Linked DNA regions of Diceros bicornis minor. The protein of the gene in region 3 interacts with the protein of the main gene of each other region in a pairwise test. Links are inferred from orthologs where the notes say so. Each region holds a gene or a part of one and is shown on either strand. Other genes may lie near its edges.

Evidence for each region.
Region 1: the proteins of GFAP (region 3) and KIAA0408 interact in binary tests that used the Homo sapiens proteins (3 or more experiments, as listed by UniProt). The link is inferred for Diceros bicornis minor from reciprocal best matches to the Homo sapiens genes GFAP and KIAA0408.
Region 2: the proteins of GFAP (region 3) and UBASH3A interact in binary tests that used the Homo sapiens proteins (3 or more experiments, as listed by UniProt). The link is inferred for Diceros bicornis minor from reciprocal best matches to the Homo sapiens genes GFAP and UBASH3A.

Annotation. Positions count from the first base shown.
Region 1 is NC_080762.1:10,196,130-10,204,064, reverse strand, and holds the start of KIAA0408 (uncharacterized protein KIAA0408 homolog), read right to left. Parts: upstream 3,002-7,935; 5' UTR 2,572-3,001; coding exon 2,423-2,571; intron 1-2,422.
Region 2 is NC_080766.1:42,106,206-42,113,615, reverse strand, and holds the start of UBASH3A (ubiquitin-associated and SH3 domain-containing protein A), read right to left. Parts: upstream 3,002-7,410; 5' UTR 2,994-3,001; coding exon 2,881-2,993; intron 869-2,880; coding exon 815-868; intron 1-814. UniProt on the Homo sapiens protein: Interferes with CBL-mediated down-regulation and degradation of receptor-type tyrosine kinases. Promotes accumulation of activated target receptors, such as T-cell receptors, EGFR and PDGFRB, on the cell surface.
Region 3 is NC_080757.1:43,359,559-43,367,195, forward strand, and holds the start of GFAP (glial fibrillary acidic protein), read right to left. Parts: upstream 3,002-7,637; 5' UTR 2,938-3,001; coding exon 2,492-2,937; intron 1,584-2,491; coding exon 1,523-1,583; intron 1,342-1,522; coding exon 1,246-1,341; intron 564-1,245; coding exon 402-563; intron 1-401.

The DNA of each region.
Region 1 (7,935 bases), on a different chromosome or scaffold from region 3:
GCTGAATATATGCTTTCTCCTCTAACAAAAATAAAGGGGGGCCATAGAGTTGTTGTGAGGCTTAAATGAGCAAGAGAGAGAATGCTTAATAAAAGTGCCTGACCCTGTTTTGGATCATAGCGGGTGCTCGATAAATGCCTGTTTCTTGATTTCTTCCTTCTGTCCTTCTCTCCCTGCACCTTTTTCTTGTCTTCTCCCTCCCTCCTTCCCTTCATCTATCTCTCTCTCTGTTTTCTTTCTCTGGCATAAAACTGATGATTTTGATCTTTATTTAATTAGAAAATTGATAAAAGCAAGTCTAATTGTATGAACTCACAAAAATTTTCAATGATTTTTCTTTGCTCTCAGTATTTTTCAAGTAGCTTAAGGACACACGGCAAGGTAAATATTTAGGAAAATTTTTATTGTTAGTAAAAATTTGAATAAACAAATCTTATATAAAACTGCCTGTTATAATTCTCCTTAATTATTTTTTAAAAAATCCAACTAATGGGGCAGCTTGGTAGGGACAGAATGTTCTGCAAGGAGAAGTTACGGGGTAATGTGGTTCAGCAGACTCAAAAACTCACTTTCAGTGACTCGACTGAGGCAAACATAAAAGTTCTCTTTGTTCTTAGCTGTCACTCTTTTTCACCCACAGATACTGGCATCTATGTGGGGGAGAAGGAAGGATTTCTGCTATCTGCACCCCTTCCGGTGTCCCTTTGACTCTCCATTTCATTTCACTCCTTCTAGAATTGCATTCAGAATAAAAATTTATTAGAGCAAATGTGAAAGGAGAGAGTGAGCTTTATTACTTAGTCCTGCACACGTTCTTCACCCAACAACTCCAAGTCAGCCTTCCCTAATCCATTTCAACCCATTTCCCCCTCCCCACAGCCGGAAGCCAGAACGGTAGAGTTGTGAGTGGGCTGCATAAGTGCGGTGAAGGGAAGAAAATAGTTCTGCCAACCTTCCAGCCCTACTATTAAGCAGATTTAATGTGCCACAGGAGTCTCACAATAACTCATTTTCATTTCCCACATTAGCCTCAATTTGGTCATGATCATACTTCTTTGTGGGAGGGGTGTTCCATTCTTACTACACCTTGGTCGTTACCATTTCAAGATCCCACTGCCCCACTGGAAACTGGACTTCAGCCAGACAAATGAAACAGTGTTAGGGGAGCTGACTCCGATGTTACTTCTCTCTTCTGAGATTTTTGTTCAGAATACTTGTTTCTTGCTCTCCTACTTCCTTTTCCTAACATATTAGTTTTCGGATAACTGGAGATTTTTCATTTGTAGGAGATTACATATTCCAATAGGAATGCCACACAGAGTAGGTGCTGTCAATCTCACAATTCCTAGAAGAATCATTGCCCTGGAGATGCTTTGCTTCCTCTGAACTTTGAGGAATTAGGATCCCCACACCCATACCCATCAGAGTTATGCACCATTTGCCTCCAAGTTTCTCTAGCCCTTTATCCAGGCTACTATGAGTCACCTGCATCATTTCAACTGATTAACAGACCTTATTCCTCCCTTATTGTTCTCTGGCAAATGCATCTTTCCAAAGACAACCATGATTTGATTTTGTTACAGGGCAAAAGGGAATATTTTTTATTACTATTTCTCGCTATTTCAGCATGTTCTTCATATTCCAATACTGCCACATGCAATTCCAAAGAAACCAACTTTGCATTCTCATTTTATTATCTTCTCCTTCCTTGTTTTCTCTCCACTTATACACTCAAACTAGAAAACATCCAAGATATAGGTGCACTGATTTTACTTCTCTTAACTTATAAAATAGAGGCTTTGAAAGAAATTTTCAGCTTGGGTAAACAAATATCTAAAATTAACCAGTTTAAACAGAAGATGTAGTGGTAAGGTTCTCTCCTAATTGCAGATGAACCCATTATGAATGGCATGCACTTAACTCAAATTACAGAAACACTCACCATGCAGGGAGCAAACCATCATCTTGGATGAAACTACATTTATTTTTCATTGCAATTTTCAAATATCAGCAATCTCAAGGGTTGTGAACTCTACTTTGCAAATGTTAAAAAGTCCTCATCCTAATGAAAGTAGCATTCTAATAAATATATTTAGAGAAATCCCACGGTAGGCAAAGTGCTGTTCAAAGTATTGAGAAGCCGTGTTTGAAAAACACTGTCTCAGAGAGCGGATGGCACCATCAGTCCAGAGCTGAGAAATCCACTCACAGCAGCTGAACCCTCTCTTCCCCGGGAGTCAGTAAAATCCATTACACACCCCGCCCCACCGTTTTCAAACCCAGACACAGACACTGAAACAGACAGATGTTGACATCATCCTCCACTTAAACAGTATCCACACTTTACAACACGGCAGCAGCAGTCCCTCCATATTTTGCCACAATTAGTCACTTGCATTCAAACTGCCCGAAAGAAACATACCTTTTTGCTCCAGCGAGAAATCCTATGGATGTTCGACCAGTGGTCAACCTAGCAATGAAAGGACAGCTAGTTGTTTTCAAGAGAAAAGTCTCAGCTTGGTGAATCTTGCTTCTTTGCAAGAAATGGGAATGCAAAATAAGTCTGACCATTCAACAGAGCGGTACTGACAAGCCCCTTTGGAACCTTCACCACTTTCACGAGTCACGAAGCTGCTCAATTCAGTATCACAGCGGCAGCTGAGACTACTGTGACGTCAGTGACCCGGAGGCGGCATTCCAGCCACCGCTTCCAACCAGAGCTCTGTAACTTTAGAGCAGCTCGTACTCTGGGTAAACAACTCCACGTCCAGGACATTTTTAGCTTTTATCATGGAGCCGAGCATTTTCAAACTCTCCAAAAGAGCTGGTGTTAACAGCACACAAAGACAGTGGCCCATTTTAGATTTCTTTTATTTGGAAAAGTAAACTCCTTTTTTACAGTCAAGAATTATCTCCTTGCATCTCTCTCTTTCCCCTTCTCAGCTCGTGTCAGAATGCACTTTTCAGTGCCTTTAGAAGTTGGTGTCTGGATGTGGCAGAACAACACATGTAGCAATTTTATAGATATATGATCTCAAAAGATTTGTGATCTCAAAAGATATATAGGATCTCAAAAAGATTTAAAAACTTCTGTCTTTAAATAAAATAGAAATGGGACATATACAAACACCAACCTCCTAGCTCTTTGTGATTCTATGACAGCTTGCTTCCTATATCTACAGTGGTAGTAATGTCTTTCTGCTAGAAAAAACTGGAGCCCATGGGAAAGGATGATACTTATTAAGGGAAGGAAAAAACCAATGAGATACTCACATGCTTGTTTTCAACTGAGGTGTGCTGTAGCCCAAGTGTATGGAGAGGCTCCCTAAACCATAACCAGATCCATCTGTCCTGGAAATCCCCCCCAGCAACATTTCCAGGTTGTGTGTGAACTTGTACACACATGCATCTGCTCATGTTTGGTTTAATGGAGTTAAAGGAAGCATCTACAGCAATTTGTGTCTAATTCTCAAAATAACCTAGATAAGAGTTTAAATAATAAGGCTTATCATCAAGTCTGAAGAACTTTCTCTGTGTGGTCGTTAAAGCATTACATCTTCACTTTCACATTATTTTTGCTTGCTTTCAGATAAATATTTCATGGGGAGCTAAAAAGTTTAAGAATAATAACCTGCTCATAGTAGGACATTAGTACATGTAGGACAATTGAATGAAATCATACTCTGTGTCTTGAAAGCCTGGCATCATAATCTCAAAATCAATAACAACAACAATAACAGTTATAGTACTAATAGTGATTACTCATGGAGGGATAGCTCTCTGCAAGTCTCTGTGCTAAGTACTCTGAATATATCTTTATCATAGCTCACCCTCAGAGCAACTATGTCTCTAAGTATTGTTAACCCAATCTTACTGATAAAACGGTGACTCAGAGAGGTAATGTAGTTTGCGGAAGTGCACAGAAACGCACACCCATGCAGAGAAGTAGGGATTGGAACCAGTTTCTTGCAACTCTGAATTTTGTCACAGAGATCTTGGTTTCAATCCCACTGCCACCAATTATCTGTGTGAACTTTGAGTTTCTGTTTCTTCTGTAAAGGGATAATCATATTTACTTCATGAAATTGTTGTAAGAGTATGAGTGCCGGGCACACAAGTTATGTTAGCTCATTTCTGCCTCCATCCTTATGAGGACAGGAGGAAGATCCTGGGGGGATTGCCTCAAAGCATCTCTACAGAATTACCTAATAACAGTGTTCCCCCTACCCTCTCTTCCTCTCTAGATTTCTTAATTTCCACGTGTCCTTTGTAAAATTAAGACTGTTTCTAAATCCTATCAGAACTTCAGATAATATGTGGCTAAGTTATAGGAGAAATTATGTTGAGCTATACTCTATACTATCACTCAATAGTACCTATTTCACTGCCCTTTTTCATGGATGTCCCAGTAATTATTTACTGCAGGGGATTCGTTTGTTTTTTATCATGGTAAAGTTGACACAAAATTATATATAGATTCAAAAACTAGGGAAAGACTTTGACAAGAATTTCACTCCAAGTCTACCACTTATTCTAGTATTTACAAACCCTTTCTGTTGAATTTTTAAAAATATATATTAGCTAAAATTTCCATGCTATATTTCATACCCAAAAGAAATAAAGTCACACAATTAGACGATGGCATACGAAGGCAATAAATATTCTGCACAGGTATTTTTGAACCTTTCCACTAAAAGCTTTTGTTTTAAGAAAAGTTCTTACTGTTACGTACATAAAATGAAGGGATTTAAAAGACTGATGCTGGTGTACTCAGCCATATAGTGATATTCAGAGTTAAATAAAAGTCCCTGACATTTTCAAGCAGATGTCAGAATGCTGAAAATCTTATGGAAAAGATGCAATTTGTTACATAATCCAGGCTACTTTTAAACCATTTAAATATTTAAACCTTCAAATACTAAATTGACCCAAATGATTGCTCTATGTATTGGAGAGAATTTGGAAGAATCCGATGACACACTAATCCTATTTCAATGCATAACAAATATGTAAAAATAATGTGTATAACAAGACAGTGTAAAGTAAATGTAGAAACAACAGCTGCTGTCAAGAAACAAAAAAGAAAATCCTGGAGAGGATGTGAAAAGGTCTATATGAATAATGATATTAAGCCACAAACTAAAACATTTTGGAAAGAGTGAAAAAGGAGTACTGAGTGCATAAATGTCACTAGCAGGTGTTCCCAGACTTATAGAAATTTAGAGCCAGAAAGAACCTCTGAAATCATCTAGCCATCCTTCTCATTTTACAGCTGAGGAAAGAGGACCTGATGTTAAGTCATTTGCCCAAGGTCACAAAGCCACTTACTAGAAATGCCAGGAATAGAAGCCAGGTCTTCTCATTCCTCGTGGAGTGCCTTGAAGTTCAAAATTCCAAGGAGTTCAAGGGAAGGGGATAGAATAAAGGGATAAGAGTTTTGGTCATAAGAGGTTGATTTCTGGCTTTGTTAAATTTTAAATTCAGTTTTCTTCTAAGTTCAAATGAGGGAGATGATACTCCATCTTCCAAGTATAACATAGGAGTCATATAGCAGAGTATTTATCTTGATGACTATTTATCTAAAGAGGCTTGTGTCTTCAGCTATATAAATCCTGGGTCAAAATACGAAGACAAAAGGATTTTAACTTAGTGGTTGAAAAAAAATCCAGGGATAAATGCACCAACTTTGCCTTTAGCATGCTAGTACACATTTAATTTACAGTATCCTGTTGGCAGGAAAATCTTGAAGCATCACAAAGCAGTTATTTATTTAATCTCTTAATGCTATGATGACACTGGCTGTGCATGAGACTGGGTGGCTTCTGACTTCTTGCTTGTATAGTTTTTCAGTCCTTTCTTGCTTTACTCTTTAAAGATATTTACCAGTAAAGGGGTACTGTATTTCTACTTTCATTGAAAAGGAGATGGAAAAAATTGGAAAAAAGATGACTTTGAAAAACTGAACTCATTCTTATGCATATTAAAATTTAGAGGCTATTATAGGTGACATATTTTAAATAATCCTTCCTTCTAGAATAATGTTTGCTCTTTGCAGTTTTCAAAGCACTTTACGATATATGATATCAGTTGTTTAGTAGAAGTCTCTTGAATCTTAAATTATCTTCCATTCCTAGGGAGAGGTCTTGGACACTCCAATTAACATTTCATTTAACAAATATTCATGAGCCAAGTCTGTGCCAGGTGTAGTGTTAGATCCGGAGGACTGGAAGAAGAATAAGACATGTCCTTGTCCTCAGCAAGCTAGGTCAACTCTGAAGATCCCTGAAATGTGACCTACAGCATGACTGCCCACATCCTGAATAGCTCACTACCTTGAAATAAATTTACAAACAAATGCGGAGAGCCCCTTCCATAGTCGCCACAGCATTACTTCAAGGGGACAGTATAGTGTTACTCTCAGCCCTTGCTGTATAGCACAATCACTCAGAGAATTATTTAAAGAATTACTAATGCTGGAACTTTCCCCCAGACTTTCTGAATCAGACCATTCAGTGGTGTGGCCCAGGTTTCTTAATTTTTATAAAGTTGCACAACTGATTCTGTCAAATTTAATCCTGTGTTGAGTCCTAGAATGGCAGAGTTTGGACTCTGTGTTAGTAAAAGAAACATAATCTTGATATTTACAAGAATCTGTTTTGGGTTATAAAATTATGAGAGTCACACACAGAGTATTTATCACCCATGGAAGTTACATATTTAGATTGCTGTGTTTCAGCTAATGTGCTATTTTCCCAGGGCTGGATGTTTTCCCCCTAGAATCATGGGATGCTGGCTCTCTCTTCTATTCTGAGGGCTGGTAACATGTCAACAGATTTTTCAGCCAAGCAGATCTGTCATGGGGCTTATGTACAGGCATTTCCAGATGACAGAAATATTCAAAAGAAACAGTTTCAAGCTATTTGTTCTTTTTAAATACTGGTCTGTATGCTGAGGAAACAAAACAATAAAACATTTGAGAAATGTGGGATATTTATTAAAACTAGAGACAGATCTTGCTTGTTTTCAAATTTGTTTTTAGCATCTCATTATATTATTTCTAGATTCTTGAATTGGGAGATGTTGCTAATGATGACAACAAAATCTAAATAATAAAGGGACAGTTCTAGGGCTACCTCTCATTCCAGAAAAGGGCCTTGGGAATGTCTGTCCACCACAAGAGGGCACCCTGAGTCACTCCTCTCTGTTAGGTAGTTCTAGCAGTGAAGGAGGGCTAAGAGAGGCTATTTAGCAAGTACAATTTGAAGGACACAGTAATTAATCCCTACTCTTCCCGCCCCATAGAGTTGCTAGCCCACCTACATCATCTCCCAGAAATGTTAGATTTATCACTATTAGGTAATAGCATTATATTTTCAGTAACTGTCTAATAACGTGCCATTGGCAGAGGATGCAGTTACTAGCTATCACACCTTGGCACAGAAAAGAACAGCTAACACACAGAAAGGACTGGAAGGGACAAGTCAATATACGTAAGTTTTGATTGGAGCCCGCAAAACAAATCTGTTTTATTCATGGGGCATGGAGTATGGATAGGGAGGGAAGATCAGAATGAGGAACTGTATGAGCGTGTGCTAGATTTTGAGGAGTTCACATGAGAAGTCTTGGTGCTCAGGTGAAAAGACACATGGCATCATGACAGGAGATCCGGAGATGAGGGTACAGAAAGGGAGGCCCAAAGTCACACTTCAGTATAGCCTTGGGCCCACTCTGATCAGAGGACTTCTGCAGAGCCAGTCAGAACATTCGCCACACCAAGGTCTCCGGAAGTCCACACGAGACTGTAAACACAATACTTTGATGGCTGAGCCTGGCCCTTACACTCTATTCTTCTGTTGTTATTGTTGCCATTGAAATATTTTGCATGATCAGATGCCTATAATTTCATTCTTTCTTTTCCAACCATTTTGAATCCAC
Region 2 (7,410 bases), on a different chromosome or scaffold from region 3:
CTGTAGACAGGTTACTTATTTTACCCTCAGCCTAGGGTTTCTGGAGGAGGAAGGGGGTTCCCACTGAGGACGTGCTGGACACCCGGAGACCCACGGGCAGCATTTCCACCCGCTCTGGGGAGGGCACCCCAGCCTGGCGGGACCCGGTTTTTTTGTTTGATTTTCACTGCGGCTTTTCAGGGGCAGAGTGTTAGGGGACTTCCCACCTGAGGACAGAACGATGGCATCATGGCACATTCAGGCGGGACTGGGTTTTAGAAAAGGGGGTGCCCTCTCTTTGATTTCCAGAGCAGAAAGCCGCAGTCCATAGCAGTGGGCGGCTTGTAGAGTCGAGTAGCTGGTGGATGGAGGGGCCACCCTGAGCTCAGAGCCCCTTACCCCGTCCCCCCAACCACCCGGCACCCGCTCCGGTGCACCATGCCGATGCCTTTGGGGGCATTCACAACCACCGGTAAATTCTCTTCCTGTCAGACATAACCTGAGAGTGGTGACCTCTCTTTCACATCAGCAAAAAATGGCTCTGCCCTCTGTACTCAACAAATCACATGCATTTTTTTCTTCTTTGACAGTCACATTTGAATTAAATCAGATTTTTAAGTGAAGAAAGCCTTGTGCACGGTTGTCTCTTTTTCATTTTACATTTTAAATGTGAGCTCTTTATTCCCTTCCCTTGGTGCTGGGTGGGTAGGCGTGGAGGTGGCCCCTGCCCCGCCCAGAGCGCACTGGGCACTTCCCAGTGTCCATCCCGCAGAGTCCTCAAAGCACGGGCACCTCAATCCAAACGCTCCACGTCTGCAAAGCCAGCCCCACTCACCAGTCCGATGCCTCTTCCACTGTCTTTCTTCCGGTCGCTGCCAATGCCTTTAGCCTGTAGGGAAGCAGAAGGCAAGGAGCATTCAGAAGCCTGCCTTGCATTCTCAGGGAAGGGATGAGAGAAGCAGGGGCAGCCCTACAACTTGTCGGACCTTCGTATCGGACATATCAGGACCTGGAGGGGCTGGACTGCTAGACTCTGCAGCTGGCAGCTTGAGTGTCCAGGCCTCTGTCCTCCGAGAGGCATCACTGTGGTTTTTGAAAATGCAGACCTGCTCACACCACCCCTGCTCATTTTCCTTCTGGGGATCCCTCCCTGCAGTCCTTGGCACCGAGACCAAGGGCTCATGCCCTGAGGTCCACCCATGCCTGCAACCCCATCTGCTCCACCCTCCCCCATGCACCCTGCACCCAAGCCAGGTGGACCCACTGGCTATGATGGGTCATATCCTCGGCTTGCACACGTGCCTCCCTGCCAAAATGCGGCCCTGTGCTGACATGCCCTCAAAGACATGGCCCTGGGTCTTCTATGATTGTTTACACGTCCCTCCACCAGGAAGTCCTCCCCGAACCGCCCAAGCAGGGTGGACGTGCAGCCCCTCCTGTGTTTCCCCACCACACGTGTGGTCACCTTGCTTCTCATCTCATTGAACTCGTGTCCGTTTGCCTCCCCTACCAGACCATGATGTCCCTAGGCCTAACGATGTCTTACTTATCATTGTAACTGGATGTAAATATATTGAATTGAATTGAACTGAACCTCCAAATTGTACAGAGTGAAACCCGGCTAAGGTAATGCATTCAGGGAGTCGGCCCGGAAGTGGCTGGAATTGTTGAGGAACCCAGTACGGTGCCGCCCAATACCGACGGGATGTGGCCACCTGGATGGGTTTTAACAGGGAGGCCTTGGCTCCAGGCTTCCCTGGGGTGCTCCAGCCTAAGGGAGAAGTTTAAACATGTTTCTCTACCCCCAGCATACGGCTAAGGTTTAAACTAGAAGGAATTTTGGGTATGCGTCCACACTACAGCTTCATTGATGTAATAAAGCCTGGGCTCTAGAGGCACCGAGAATAGGGTTCCTGTCCTGCTCTCTCTGGCCTCAGTGTCCCCATCTGCACCTGTTGGACGATGCCCAGGACGGTGCCCAGCACACGGCAGGCACTCTGCTCGTGCTTGCTTCCATTCCCACTGCACAGACCCCCGGATTATTATGAACATAGTGGTGACGACCGAGTCCTGAATTGGATTGGAGGTGCAAGGGGTCTAGCTTCAAAGTTATTTCATCCACTTGGGTCAGGATTTTTGTTACAATGTTTAAGGAAGGTTTGCCCCGCTCTCAAATCCAAGGTTACCTAAGGGGACTTCTGATGTATTTTCCCATATGAATAAGCATGTGAAAAGGACCAGAACTAAGCAATCAATTTCCCGTGGAAGCTGTAACCCAGGGTCAGGATCATAGTCATTGATTTTGGGGATTTCTCCACTCTCTGAGAGGGGTAACTCCTAAGGTTAAAATCTTCCGTGTGGACGTTTTTCCTGGGTGAGTAGGATTGTGCTGACACTCTTCCGGTAGTTTCTTCATCATTTTGTTTCGTTTTCAGACATTCAAGAGATTTTCCCTAAGCACTAATGGTTTTCCTGCACTGTTTAGAAACACAGTCCCATCTCAACAGGTCCCAGCAATAGAGACTCACTGGGCTCTGGGATCTTTCAAATTAGAGTTTGAAATGTCGTCTCAGAGTCGCCGAGCTGCTCACAGAGACGGTACAACCAGGCCCCAAGCTCCTCCAAACTCTGAAAAATGGGGCTGCCATGGTAATACTTGGTTTCTAATTTTCACAAATTTCAGTGTCCCCCCCATCAACCAGCTGAGTTTGTCTTTAAAAAGAAAGATCAAGTTATTTATAAAAAGCAGAAAAGGGTCTTATTTTGAGACAGTGTCTCATCCTGCGTGGTGTACCCCTTCGACAGGAAGCTGGTGCTCGGAGCTGCCTGCAGTTTCACAGAGGAGCCACGGAAGGGTCAGGCTCGGGGGTCGCAGGCTCCCCTAGCCAGGGCAGTACTCACGCGGTGTGTGCCGGGAAGCCCATCCCCAGGAGGGAGTCCAGGAGGGCGGGGGTGCTGCGGCCCTTGAGCTTGTTGGAGATCTTGGCGTAGAGCTGAGTCTCCCCGGCTGCCATGTCTTCCTGCCTGCAGGCTGAAATGAGTAGATAAAGCCAGAGAGGGAGAGGCAAGAGAGTCTGAAGCTGTGAAGAAAAACCTCAAGCCTTTTTTGATCTTTCTAACAAAAGCTAATATCCTGTTTGCATGAGATACTGGTTTTCAAAAATCTCTTTGTGGGGTGCTGGGGTGCAATATCCACCAAGCCTCTTTCCACAGCGCGGTTTGGGATCCGGAGGTCCAACCAAGCCTTTGCACTGACGTGGGCTGCATTGGGGAGCAAGTCTGCAAGAGAGGGAGAGCGAGGGGGCAGGACGAGGGAGTGGAACCAGGGGCAAGTGTTCTCTACCAGGTCCCACTGACTGTAGAACCCCAAGCGACCCTGGATCTAGTCTCCTTATCTGCAAGCAAGACATTAAACTACGCTGTATCTATTTTCCCTGCTAGCTCTGAAATTTTGGGTTTCTTTAGTTATTCATTGACGTTTTTTTTGATTTTAAAAACTTTTAAAGTTTAATATGCGTGCAGAAAAGTTGACAAATCATATGTGTACAGCTCAATGAATCTTCATAAAGTGAGCACACACACCTAACCTTCCCAGGACCAGCAATTAAACAGTGGTCCTCAACCAGAGGATATTGGCCTCCATCCCCGGGGACCGCTGGCAGTGTCTGGAGACATTTTTGGTTGTCACAACTGGAGGGGATGCTTGCTACTGGCATCTAGCAGATTGAACCCAGGAATGTTGCAGTGCACACGAGAGCAAAGAAGGATCCAGCCCAAAATGTCAATAGCATCAGGGTTGAGAAACTCTGCTTGAGAACATTACCAGAACCTCAGAAGCACCCCTGCTCTCAGCCCCCACCCAGCTTCCTAGTTGTCTCCTCTCTCACCCCAAAAGGTAACCGCTGTACACACTTGCACATTAATTTTGCGTATTTTTGAAACTTATATAAATAGAACCGTACAGCATGTACTCTTTCGTGTCTGGTTTCTTTTGCCTAAAATCACGTGTGTGAAATTTATCCACATTGTTGCTTGTAGCTGTAGTTAGTTCCCTGTATTGCTGTGTAACATTCTATCAGATAAATGCACCATACTTTATTTCTCCATTTCTCTGTTGATGTACATTTGGGTGTGTTTCAGTTATTTTGCTGCTGTGGATGTTCTTGTATACATCTTTTAATGCCCAATGTATGCATTTCTGCTGGGTACACACCTCGGAGTGGGATTTGGGGGTCATAGGATATGTGCAGACTTCATTAAAAACTGCCAAGCAGTTTTACAAAGCAGTCGTTCCAATTTGCCCTCTCGCCAGCAGTGGATGCGAGTTTCACCTGCTCTGCATCCTTATCCATACTTGATACTGTCAGTCTTTTTAGTTTTAGCCAATCTAGGTGTGTGTAGTGGTATCTCACTGTGGTTCTAATTTGCGTTTCCCTGAATGGCAATGACATTGAGCACCACGAGACAGCCTATTGGCCATTTGAAGAACCTCTTTGGGGAAGGGCCTGTTCAAAGCATCTGCCTTTTAAAAAATTGGGTTGTTTGCTTTTTCTTATCAATTTGTGGGAACTCTGGAGATAAGTCTTTTGTTGGATGCATTTAATGGTAATAACTTCTTCCAGGCTGTGGTTTGCTTTTTTAATCTCTTAATAATGTCTTTGAGTGAAACGAAATTTCTTAATTTGAATGAAAACTAATTTATCAATCTTTTCTTTTATGGTTTGAACTTTCTGCATCTTGTTCAAGAAATCATTGTTAACCCAACATTGATGAAGATTGTCTCCTACATTTTCTTTTTGAGGCTTTACTACTTTTACTGTTCATATTTAGCTCTATGGTCCATTTGAATTAATTCTTTGTATGGGGTGAGGTAGGGGTTTATGTTCATTTCTTTCCCCATACCTGTGTTCAATGAAAAGACCATTCTTTGCCCAGTGAATACAGTAGAATGTTCATTATAAATCAGGTGACTGTATATGTATTAGTCTGTTTCTGACTCCATTATGTTCTCTTATTGGATTTGTCCATTTTTGTGCCCATACTACACTGTTTTAATTACTATAGCGTTAAGTCCTCTGATTTTGTCTTCTTCTTCAAGATTGTCTTGGCTCCTCTATGCTCTTTGCTTTTTCATATAAATTTAAAAATCAGGTTGCCATAGTGTGCCATTGGAGAGCACAGAAAGACCCCCATATGTGGTCATTTGATTCCCAACAAAGGGACCAATGTAACTTAATAGAGGAAAGGATAATATTTTCAACAAACGGTGCTGGAAAACTGCATATCGTTATGGGAAAAATATAAATTTCAACCCTTACTTCACATCATGCACAAAAACTAACTCAAATTTATGATGGACCTAAATGTAAAAGCTAAAACTATAAAACTTCCAACAAAAATGTAGGAGAAAATTTTTTGCTACGCTGGAGTTTGAAAGCTTTGTTATGACACAAAAAAATATGAATCATAAAAGAAGAAAATTAAGATGGACTTCATCAAAATTGAAAACTTCTGCTCTTTGACAGACACCATAAAGAAAATAAAAATGTAAGCCACAGACTGGGAGAAAATATCACCGTAGATACCTGACAAAGGACTTGTATCCAGAATATACAGAATATAACATAATGTATTTCTGCATCTATTATATATGTATATTCTCATAATCAATAATAAGAAAAGGAGCAATCTGGTTAAAAAATGGGTTAAGTGGTTAAAGATATGCAAATGGCTAATGAAGACGTGAAAAGATATTCAACATCATTAGTCATCAGGGAAATGTAAATTAAAACCACAATGTGATACCACAACACAGTTAGTAGAAGAGCTAAAATTGAAAAGACTGACAATATCAAGTTTTGACCAACCGTGGAATAATTGGAACTTTCACACATTGTCCAACCACTTCCAGAAAACATAGTCTTATAAAGTTAAACATATTCTTACTATACGACCAATCCACTCTTAGCTATCTCCCTAGGAGAAATGAAAATGCATGACCACACAAAGACTTGTATGTGAAATGTCTGTAGTGGGTTCATTCACAGTAGACCCAAATTGAAAAGAATCCAAAAACATACAACTGTTATAGACTGGTGAATGGATACAAAAATTATGGTACAGTCATGTGTTGCTCAGTGTTGGGTATACGTTCTGAGAAATGCATCGTTAGGCAATTTCAGCATTGTGCAAACATCATAAATCGTACTTACACAAACCTAGATGGTATAGCTTACTACACACTTAGGCTATATGGTGCTAATCTTATGGGACCACCATCGTAAACGTGGTCTGTCATTGACTGAAATGTCGTTATGCAGTGCATGACTGTGTATTCAATCAGTGGGATAACATATATCAATAAAAAGGAAGACATCACTGATTCATAGAAGAACATGGATGAATTTAAAAGAACATTGTTGACTGAAGGAAGCCAAACACAAGATATAGATACTGTACGATTTTATTTAAATGAAATTCTAAAAAAGGTAAAACTGACCTATGAAGACAGAAAGCAGATGAGTGGTTGTCAGGCCAGGGTCAGAGGGAGTTTTTGGGGGTGATGGAAACGTTCCACATCCTGATTTGGTGGTGACCAAATGGATGCATAGATCTTCAAGACTGACTGAATTGAGCACTTAGAATGGGTACAGTTGATAGTGTGTAAATTAAACCTCAATAAAATTGATTTTAAAAAAGGAAAGGGAAGGGGCCAGCCCTGGTGGCCTAGTGGTTAAGTTCCATGCGCTCTGCTTTGGCGGCCGGGGTTTGGTTCCCAGGTGTGAACCTACACCACTCGCCTGTCAGTGGCCATGCTATGGGGGTGGCTGACATACAAAAAAGGGCAAAAAGAGAAGGGTTGGAAGCAGATGTTAGCTCAGGGCTAATCTTCCACAGCAACAACAACAACAAAAAAGTAGATTTTGGGTCTGAAGTGACGGCCTCTACTCAAATATATTTATCTCTTCTAAATAGTAAACTACCTTTTCAGCAATTGTGCTTATAACATATTAAAATGTAAATTTCTCTTTAAAAAAAATCTTACTTGTGTAAGCCAGGAAACGCCCTATCTAGCTTAATCCCTTTTTCTTAGCTTGAAAAGTTATCTTCCAAGGCCAACAGCAAAAAGACTAAAGCTTCCTGACGCAGAATTTCCCCTGTGGCTGACCCCCAAGCCTCCCATCACTCGCTAAAGAGATCAAGGTGGAGACTGAGACTGTGCCTAGAACGAAGCTGTGTGCAAGTGCTTATGAAAGCTTCACAGGTCCTAGGGGAGCCCTCAGGGTAGGATGCCCCTTCTCATACCTCCAAACCAAGACTACTTAAGACTCCGGCTTGGTGAACATCAGATGCCAGCCCTAGGTGTGCTGATTTCTTTTTCCTTAAAATTGTATACTGAGCTTGATGGAACTGATCTGTAGGTTTTTCTGA
Region 3 (7,637 bases):
CTCCCAAGAGGGATGGCTGGGGTTGGAAATCCAGCTCTACCACTTAGGAGCTATGTGACTTTGGGCAGATTAGTTAACTTCTCTGGACTTCAGTTCTCTCATCTATCAAAGAATAGTACCTACTTCATAGTAAGATAATCCATACAAAGCACAGGGCCTGGCACACAACAATGTTGGCTAATAATAATAGTAATAGTAGCAATAATAATAATAATAATAATTACTTATTGGGAGTAAGAGTGCCTGTGTGACCCTGGCCAAGTCACCTCTCTTCTCTGGTGAAGGTCAGTTACCCAGAGAGGATCCTCTCCTGGCTTCCTTCCACCCTCCTTCCCCAATTCTCTTGTATGGAGCCAGGAGGGCTGCCTGGAGGAGGCAGGCTGGCCTACAGTCAGGGCTACCTTGGACCGGTACCACTCCTCTGCCTCGTGCATGTTGCTGGATGCCATTGCCTCGTATTGTGTGCGGATCTCCCTCAGGGCTGCTGTCAGGTCTGGCTTGGCCACATCCAGCTCCACATGGACTTGCTGCTGGGCCAGCTGCTCCTGGAGCTCCCGCACCTCCTGGTCGGGGAGAGAGAAGTGACGCTAGGTCTCAGGGCCCAGGCCGCAACTGGGGTTCCCCCACAGTGTCATGCCCTCTTCTGCCTGCCCCTCAGACGTGGACGTTGGCTAAGGGAAATGGGGCAGTCCTAGTTGGAGGAAGTGGCATGGCCCAAGCTAGAGGAGGCAGGGGGTAGCTTGAGGGCCCCATGGTGTCCTCCTCCCAGGCCCAGACAGGCAGGAGCACTGAAGTGGCCTGTATTCTCATGGGAGAGTGACTAAGTCCCTACGGGTAGGTGTTCCTGTAAGGGTTCCTAGGTTCCATGGGATCACGGATTCTGAATCCATAGTCTGAGGTCAGAGCTCAGTGGGATCTTTTTTTATGAATGACTCTCATTTAAATGAGACAGATGGCAAATGGGTGGAGTCAGAAAGACTAACTGTGTGACCTTAATAGGTTCTTTAACCTCTCTGGGCCTCAGTGCAAAGGAGATAATACTGGAAGGGTTTCTGTCTCAGGTCTGTAGCGAAGAAAAATATGAGGTTCCCTTGTCTGTCTCTATCTTTGTCTCCCTCAGGCTCTCTCTGTATCTCTCTCATTTTCTTTCTCTGTCTCTGAGTATCTCTCTCAGTCTCAGTCTCTTTGTCTCTCTCTCAATTGCAGTCTCTGTGTTGGGATTTCCCCCCTGTGTCCTGGCCTCACCTCCTCATGTATCTTCCTCAGGAACCGGATTTCCTCTTCCAGAGACTCAATCTTCCTCTCCAGATCCAGGCGGGCCAGAGTGGCTTCATCTGCCTCCTGGAGTAGGGAAGGTGCAAAGGACCACTCTGACACCAGACTCCTCTTCCCCATTCTCTAGCCTTGTCTTACCCCTCCTTTTGGGTTGGGGAGAGCAACACATTGCTCTGGAGGGCTGGGCTTGGGTGGGCTACCATCAACACTCTCCCCCCACCATTTGCCCCCCCGCCAACCCCCTGACCTGTCGATAGGCAGCCAGGTTGTTCTCGGCCTCCAGTCTCAAGTTGGTTTCATCCTGGAGCCTGGGGTGGGGGGACACATTCCTTTTCTGAGGACTCTTGGATCCCTGCCTCAATCTCTCTGGAGGTGGCTGCCAGAGAGACCCCCCCAGGACTGTGGAGTAGCAGGAGGAGCGAGGGTCAGAGGGGTCCTAGATGGAAGCCTTGGCCAGGAGGGTGAGCAGATGAGGGCCTTTACTTTACCTCATTAGCAAGGGGCCTTATCAGGGGTGATGCACCCGCTCCTGCTCATGCAGGCGCTTTCACCAACACACACCCACTACCGAGTGCACAAACCCGAGTCCTCCTGCCCTTGAGGGCTCATGCGCGTGCCCTGACAGCTCAGCAAAGCATCCTGCCCCTGTGGTTCCCTCTGACCTTTGGAAATGGGTTTTATGAAGATCTTGGCTTCACAGATGTGAAGTTGAAGTGCCTTGACTAGGGTCATAATCTAGTGACAGGCAGAGTCACCACGTTCTGAAGCGAGCCCTGCCTACTCTTTCTCCCACTTCCTTTACCCAGAGCCCAGTCCTCCCAGTGCACACCAACCTTCCCTTCCAACTCCTCCTTCATACAGGTCTGGGCTCAGAGTCCGCCAGCTCCCCGCCCAGAGTCACAAGGCCCCGCAGTGAATGAAATGCACAGACCCTGCCTGCTGGGGTCCCTGACTGCCTCTGCACAGCTCTCCCCAGTGGGGAGGTCCTGAGAGTACCCTGGCTCCCTGGAATCAGATCCCTGAGGCTCTGGGCCTCCTCCCAGCCCCTCCCATCATCTTGGGGAGCAAGGAGAGCCTTCCCCTCCCAGAAGTGGGAAAACTGGGGAGCAGGGAGGCAGAGCTCCCTGCGTGAGACTCTGAAGGCCTGCAGGCACTCTCTCTTGGGGGCTCAGTCCTCCCTGTTCATGAGGCCCCTCTCCTCCGGCCCCCTCCTCACTTCTGCCTCAGAGTGCCCAGGTCCTGCGCCAGATTGTCCCTCTCGACCTCGAGCCGGGCGCTGTTGGCAGTGAGTTGATCAAGCCGCAGCCGCAGTTCACGCAGCTCAGCCTGGTAGACATCGGCCAGCTTGGTGGGCTCCTTGGCCCGCAGCTGGTTCAGCTCGGCAGCCAGCGCCTTGTTCTGCTGTTCCAGGAAGCGCACCTTCTCGATGTAACTGGCAAAGCGGTCATTGAGCTCCATCATCTCTGCCCGCTCACTGGCCCGGGTCTCCTTGAAGCCGGTGTTGAGTGCCCCGGCCAGGGAGAAGTCCACCCGGGTCGGGAGTGGAGGTGGCATTCGAGCAAGAGAGAGGCGGGTGCCAGGACCCAGGCGGCGGCCTGCCACCACCTCTGAGGAGAAGACATAGGAGCGGCGAGCAGCCGAGGTGGCGCGTCTCCTCTCCATCCTGGCCTGGCTCTGCTTGCTCCTGGGTTGCGAGGGCTTTATGGAGGAGTGGGCCGGCCTGGCACTTCCCAGGCTGCCCCTGGCAACGCCCCCTGGCATAGCCTGAGGGGGTGGGGCTGGGCCGCAGCCCAGCCATGGGGAGAGCTCCTCTCACCCCACAGAGGTCACTGTGTCCAGAGGCAGGGCCTCCTGGGCACGCCAGTCCCCACCCCTTGCCGCAGACAGAAGTACTGATGGGCAGTGCCTGGGACCTGATGCTGGGTCTGGGGCCTGACCACTGGGCAAGGAGACTCTCACTCTAGGAAGGCGGGTCAAGAAAGGGCTGGACCGGATGACCTCTGACCTGCCTTCCAACTCTTAGATCCCATAACCCAGGCCTTCTCTCACTGAGCCTCCTCCTTTGAGTGCCTGCTAGGTGCCGGAAATTTAGCAAAGAACAAACCTATTCCACACCCTCAAGGAACAGCCTATGTTACAGTTCCTACTGAGCCCCGTTCCCAACAGATTGCTGGAGTCCTCCTCTCTGAATGCAGACATCCCCCATTCCTGCTTTCTCCCCATTCCCTGTGTTCTGGGGCTGTGGGTTGGAGTTGGACACCAGCCCTTTGTCTGGAGGGTCAATTGAGACCTCTCTTTAGCAGTGGGGGGATGATGGAAGGAGCGTGGAAACCCCGATAGGGCAAGAGGGGGCAGGTACTACACTCTCTGGCCCTCTCCCAGGGCCACTCTTAAGCCCCTGCCTCAGTCCCATTGGCCTCACCCCTCCCTCACTCAGCCTTCCTGCACCCCTGCCCCAGCCTAGGCCTTGACATCTCCACAAAGCAGTTATGAATGAGCTGGCTGTCCTGACTCCCATCTTGTTCCTGCGTCACCCTGTTTCGCTGGCCACTCCTCACCTCACTCTCACACTGGAGATTTATCTCCTTTGAGTTCCCACGCATGAGGCAGAGAAGATGGGAAGGGCCCTGGGGACGGGTGGGTTAGGAGTCACTGGGTCCAAACTGGGAGCCCGGGGCCAGGGCCCTGTTGCTCTTTGAGACTTCAGATCCATCCACCCCTTCTACTCTGGTCCCACAGGGTCAGCTTTCCACCCAGGCCCCTCACCCATCTATGTCCTTGGACTTCTGGGAAGTGGGCAGCGTTCCTCTCCCCACCTCCCTCTGCCCACTGCCCATGCCTGGGCCTCTGCTCCCTTTTCCCGGGCACTTGCTGAATGGAGCCTTGTTCTCCACTGCTGGTGAGGGCGCCGCACAGCAACGGCAGCCCCCGGGGGGCTGTGCTGTTTTTGTCCCAAGATGCCAGGCTGTTAGGCGGAGTGCAGCCTAAGCCCCCTGCTCAAAGAACTTCTCGGAAAACATCTGAGGGGGCTGGGGTGCAGTGGGGAGCAGGCTCTGTGCCCACTCCCGACCATTGTGTCCGTGCCAAGGTGAGTCATTCAGTGGGCACCAGGGGAAGGCCCTGGGGGGCAGCCAGCCCCGCTCTGCCAGGTCTTCAACTCTGCAGAAAAGGCCTGGCTGCTCGCCCCCTGCCCAGCTCTCAGAGCCAGCTCAGGCCCCTGAGCTCCTTTTGCGGCAATGCCCCTACCCCACGCCCGGGAACATGCTCTCCACTTGAGCATGTTATAGGCTGCTTGTAGAGGTTCCCCCCGGTGAGTCCCAGTGCAGAGAGAGGAGGCGAGAGTCTCTAAGTCTCTGGCCGCACCCAACCCCAGGGGCTGAGCAGTGACATAGGGAGGGGAGTCTTGAGGAGGGGACACCCGGTGACTTTTGATCCTGCTGTGGGTTGGAGAGCTGGGGAAGGACAGGGGGCATTGAAGGAAGAGCAAGACTGGGAACAAACCCTCGTCCCAACTCCTCTCTGTGACTACAAGTGTCTGCCCTTCCAGCCTGCAGGGCGAGTCAGTGGCCTCCTCGCTTCCTTCATGTGAAGTCTAGTTGAAATGAGTGCAAAGCAGTCCTGGAGGGGAAAGACATAGCAAGAGCAGGAAGGGCTTGTCAGCCACGCTCAGTGGATTGTACCTGTGTGTGCGAGACACAGGCTTGTGTCAGCAGCAGCAGATGGAGGCCCCCAGCCTTCACCTCCTTCAGTCACCTCCCTGGGCCCCTGTCACAGGCCCAGGCTTTCTGCCTCCGTCTTCAACCCCCATCTGACCCTCAGACCCATCCCCACACTCAGCCTTAACTATCTAAAGATGTCCACACAGAGAACCAAAGAGGTAGACAGGCTTGGTTGTGGGTGTTTGCCAAACTTTCATTATTTTTACACATTCTTTGTAGAAACATCAGAAAATACAGATAAGCAAAACAAAAAAATAATAATTAGCCATTATTTTGCCACCTGGAGATAAACACTACCAGATTTTTTTCTACACATATAAATTCATTTTACAAGTGGGCTCATGCTGTACAAATTATTTTGTAATTTGCTTTTTTCACTCAACAATATGTTGCGAACATCTTTCCATATCAATAAATATTTATCTACATCATCATTTTAACAGCTGCATGGTTTTCCACTGTATGCATTGATTTAACCAAGCCCTGTTGTTGGACAATTATGTTCTCTCTCTCTTTCTCTCTCTCTCTCTCTCTCTCTCTGTTCTGGATCACACTGTGATGCACATCTGCCCCAGGCAGACCCACCTCCCGGCTTCCAACGCTGCCCCCATCCTTCTGGCCTGGCTCAGGCCCCATCTACATAGGGTCTCTAGCTCTGCAGAAAAGGCCTGGCTGCTTGCCTCCTCCGCAGCTCTCAGAGCCAGCTCAGGCCCCTGAGCTCCTGTCGGGGCAATGCCCCTACCCCACGCCATGGGAGATGCTTTCCCATCCTCTCCTGCTTCCCCAATCTGAGGGCCTCAACATCCGAAGCCTCAAGCCAATCCTGGACTGACTTCTGGACTAGACAGCAGAAGCTGTGGGCCATGGAGAAAGGATGCCTAGACGCCCCTCCACAGGGCCTTCAGCCAAGCCATGCCCCACTTCAAGCCGAGGTGGGGAAAAGATGATCTTTTACCCCCTGTGCCAGGATGCCCTCCTGCCTGTGGGGCAGAGCCCACATGCTTCCTGGGACAGACCAACACCACATCCGGCCTCAACCCACACACAAGTTGCCCAGCATTTTCCAAATTTGCCAGCCTCTAATTCAAGTGGCTATTTTGCCACTGGACTGCTGCCCACTGGCTCTGCTTGAGCCCCTGCCCCTCTCCAGTGCCTGACATAGCTTGGCGGTCAGCAAGCGTGGGCGGTACGAAGAGAACGTGGGTCTTCCTGGCCCACCCCTTGGTGGTGGTTGAGTCCATCCATTCCACGGCCCATCCCTGAGGAAGGGAACTGGGCCCCGGTGGCCACTAGATGGCAGTGCTCAGCTGCTGAGGTCTGAGCGGCCGCCAGGCCACAGCCGTTTAGAAGCAGGGAGAAAGCCAGTCTCACAGCTGTGGGCAAGCTTTCTAAACCCAAATTTGGATCACCCAGGGGGATCACCCCGTTTCTTCTCTGGAGTTGCCTCTGACTGCCATGGCAGTGCCCTCTAGGGGACAGAGAAAGGCAGTGGCCACGCAATAGCTGTATGATCTTGGATGACTTCAGGAAACTTCTCTGAGTTTCCATTTCCACAACCGTAAAATGAGGACTTGTCATCCTTACTTCCAAGGTAGTTGTGAGGATAAAATCAGTGAAAGCTGGACACAGCAGGTGCTCAAGAAGTCATAGCTTCCATTTAATAACACCATCCGGGTGCTTTGCCTACCTTCACAGTAGCACGTCTGTGATGGGGTGGGCCCCGAGGGGTGGGAGCTGCGTCTTTGGGGGTAGGGGGCAGCAGCCAGAGGAGAGAGGGTGAGAGTCAGCACCGTTTGCCCCCAGGCGACTAGTTGTTCGTGGCTTTGGGTCTCCCAGGGGACATATGCACATGATCTCCAACTGCCCCGGAGGAGACTCAGAGTAGAGGCTCTTTCCCAGCCTTCTCTCTCACCTCGCTGACTCCCCTGGTGGGATCCGTCCCTCCATCCTTGCCCTTCCCCAACCCTAGACTTGAGGCCACAACTCCATCTGGTCTGAGAAGCTTTTGGTGTGTCAGCATCTCCCGTGGGTGTGGGTCTCCTCTGCACCTCAGCCTGAGGCATCCCAAGGAGAGGGGCCATGTGTCTCTTGACGGATGGGGGCTTCCAGATGCTAGGACCTGTGTCTTCCCTTCAGAATGGGAACTCCCTAAGGATACGGTCTGTCTCCCGCTTTAGACTAAGGCACCCATAGGACAGAAGCCATCTCTCCCCTTGGAGGGAGCTTCCTGATGCGAGAACCCATGGTTCACTGTCAGGTGGGAGCTCCTTGAGGGCAAGGGTCGTCTCCTGCTCTCAGTCAGAGGAGGGCTGCCTCAGTCCAGCGTTAGGTCCTTCTCCACTCCTCAGCCTGTGCCCAGCCAGGCTCTGCTGGTTAGAAGCGCCCAACTCCTGTGGCTGCAGAAGGGTTCCTGGCTGAACCTCTAGACTCCTTCCCCTTCCTCTTCCCTGGCCCCTCAGCACATCATCGTTGGAGGCATCAGCTCACTCACCTTCACAGACCCAGGGGTCAGGCTGCTGCGCTGGGGTTAATAAGCTCGAGCTCTTTCTCCCCGCTCTTCTCCCCTCAGCCAGGGCCCACTCCAGCATGCCCCCCACATCCCAGCCTCTAACTCTGAGACTGGCTTTTTAATTGCTTTCCCCC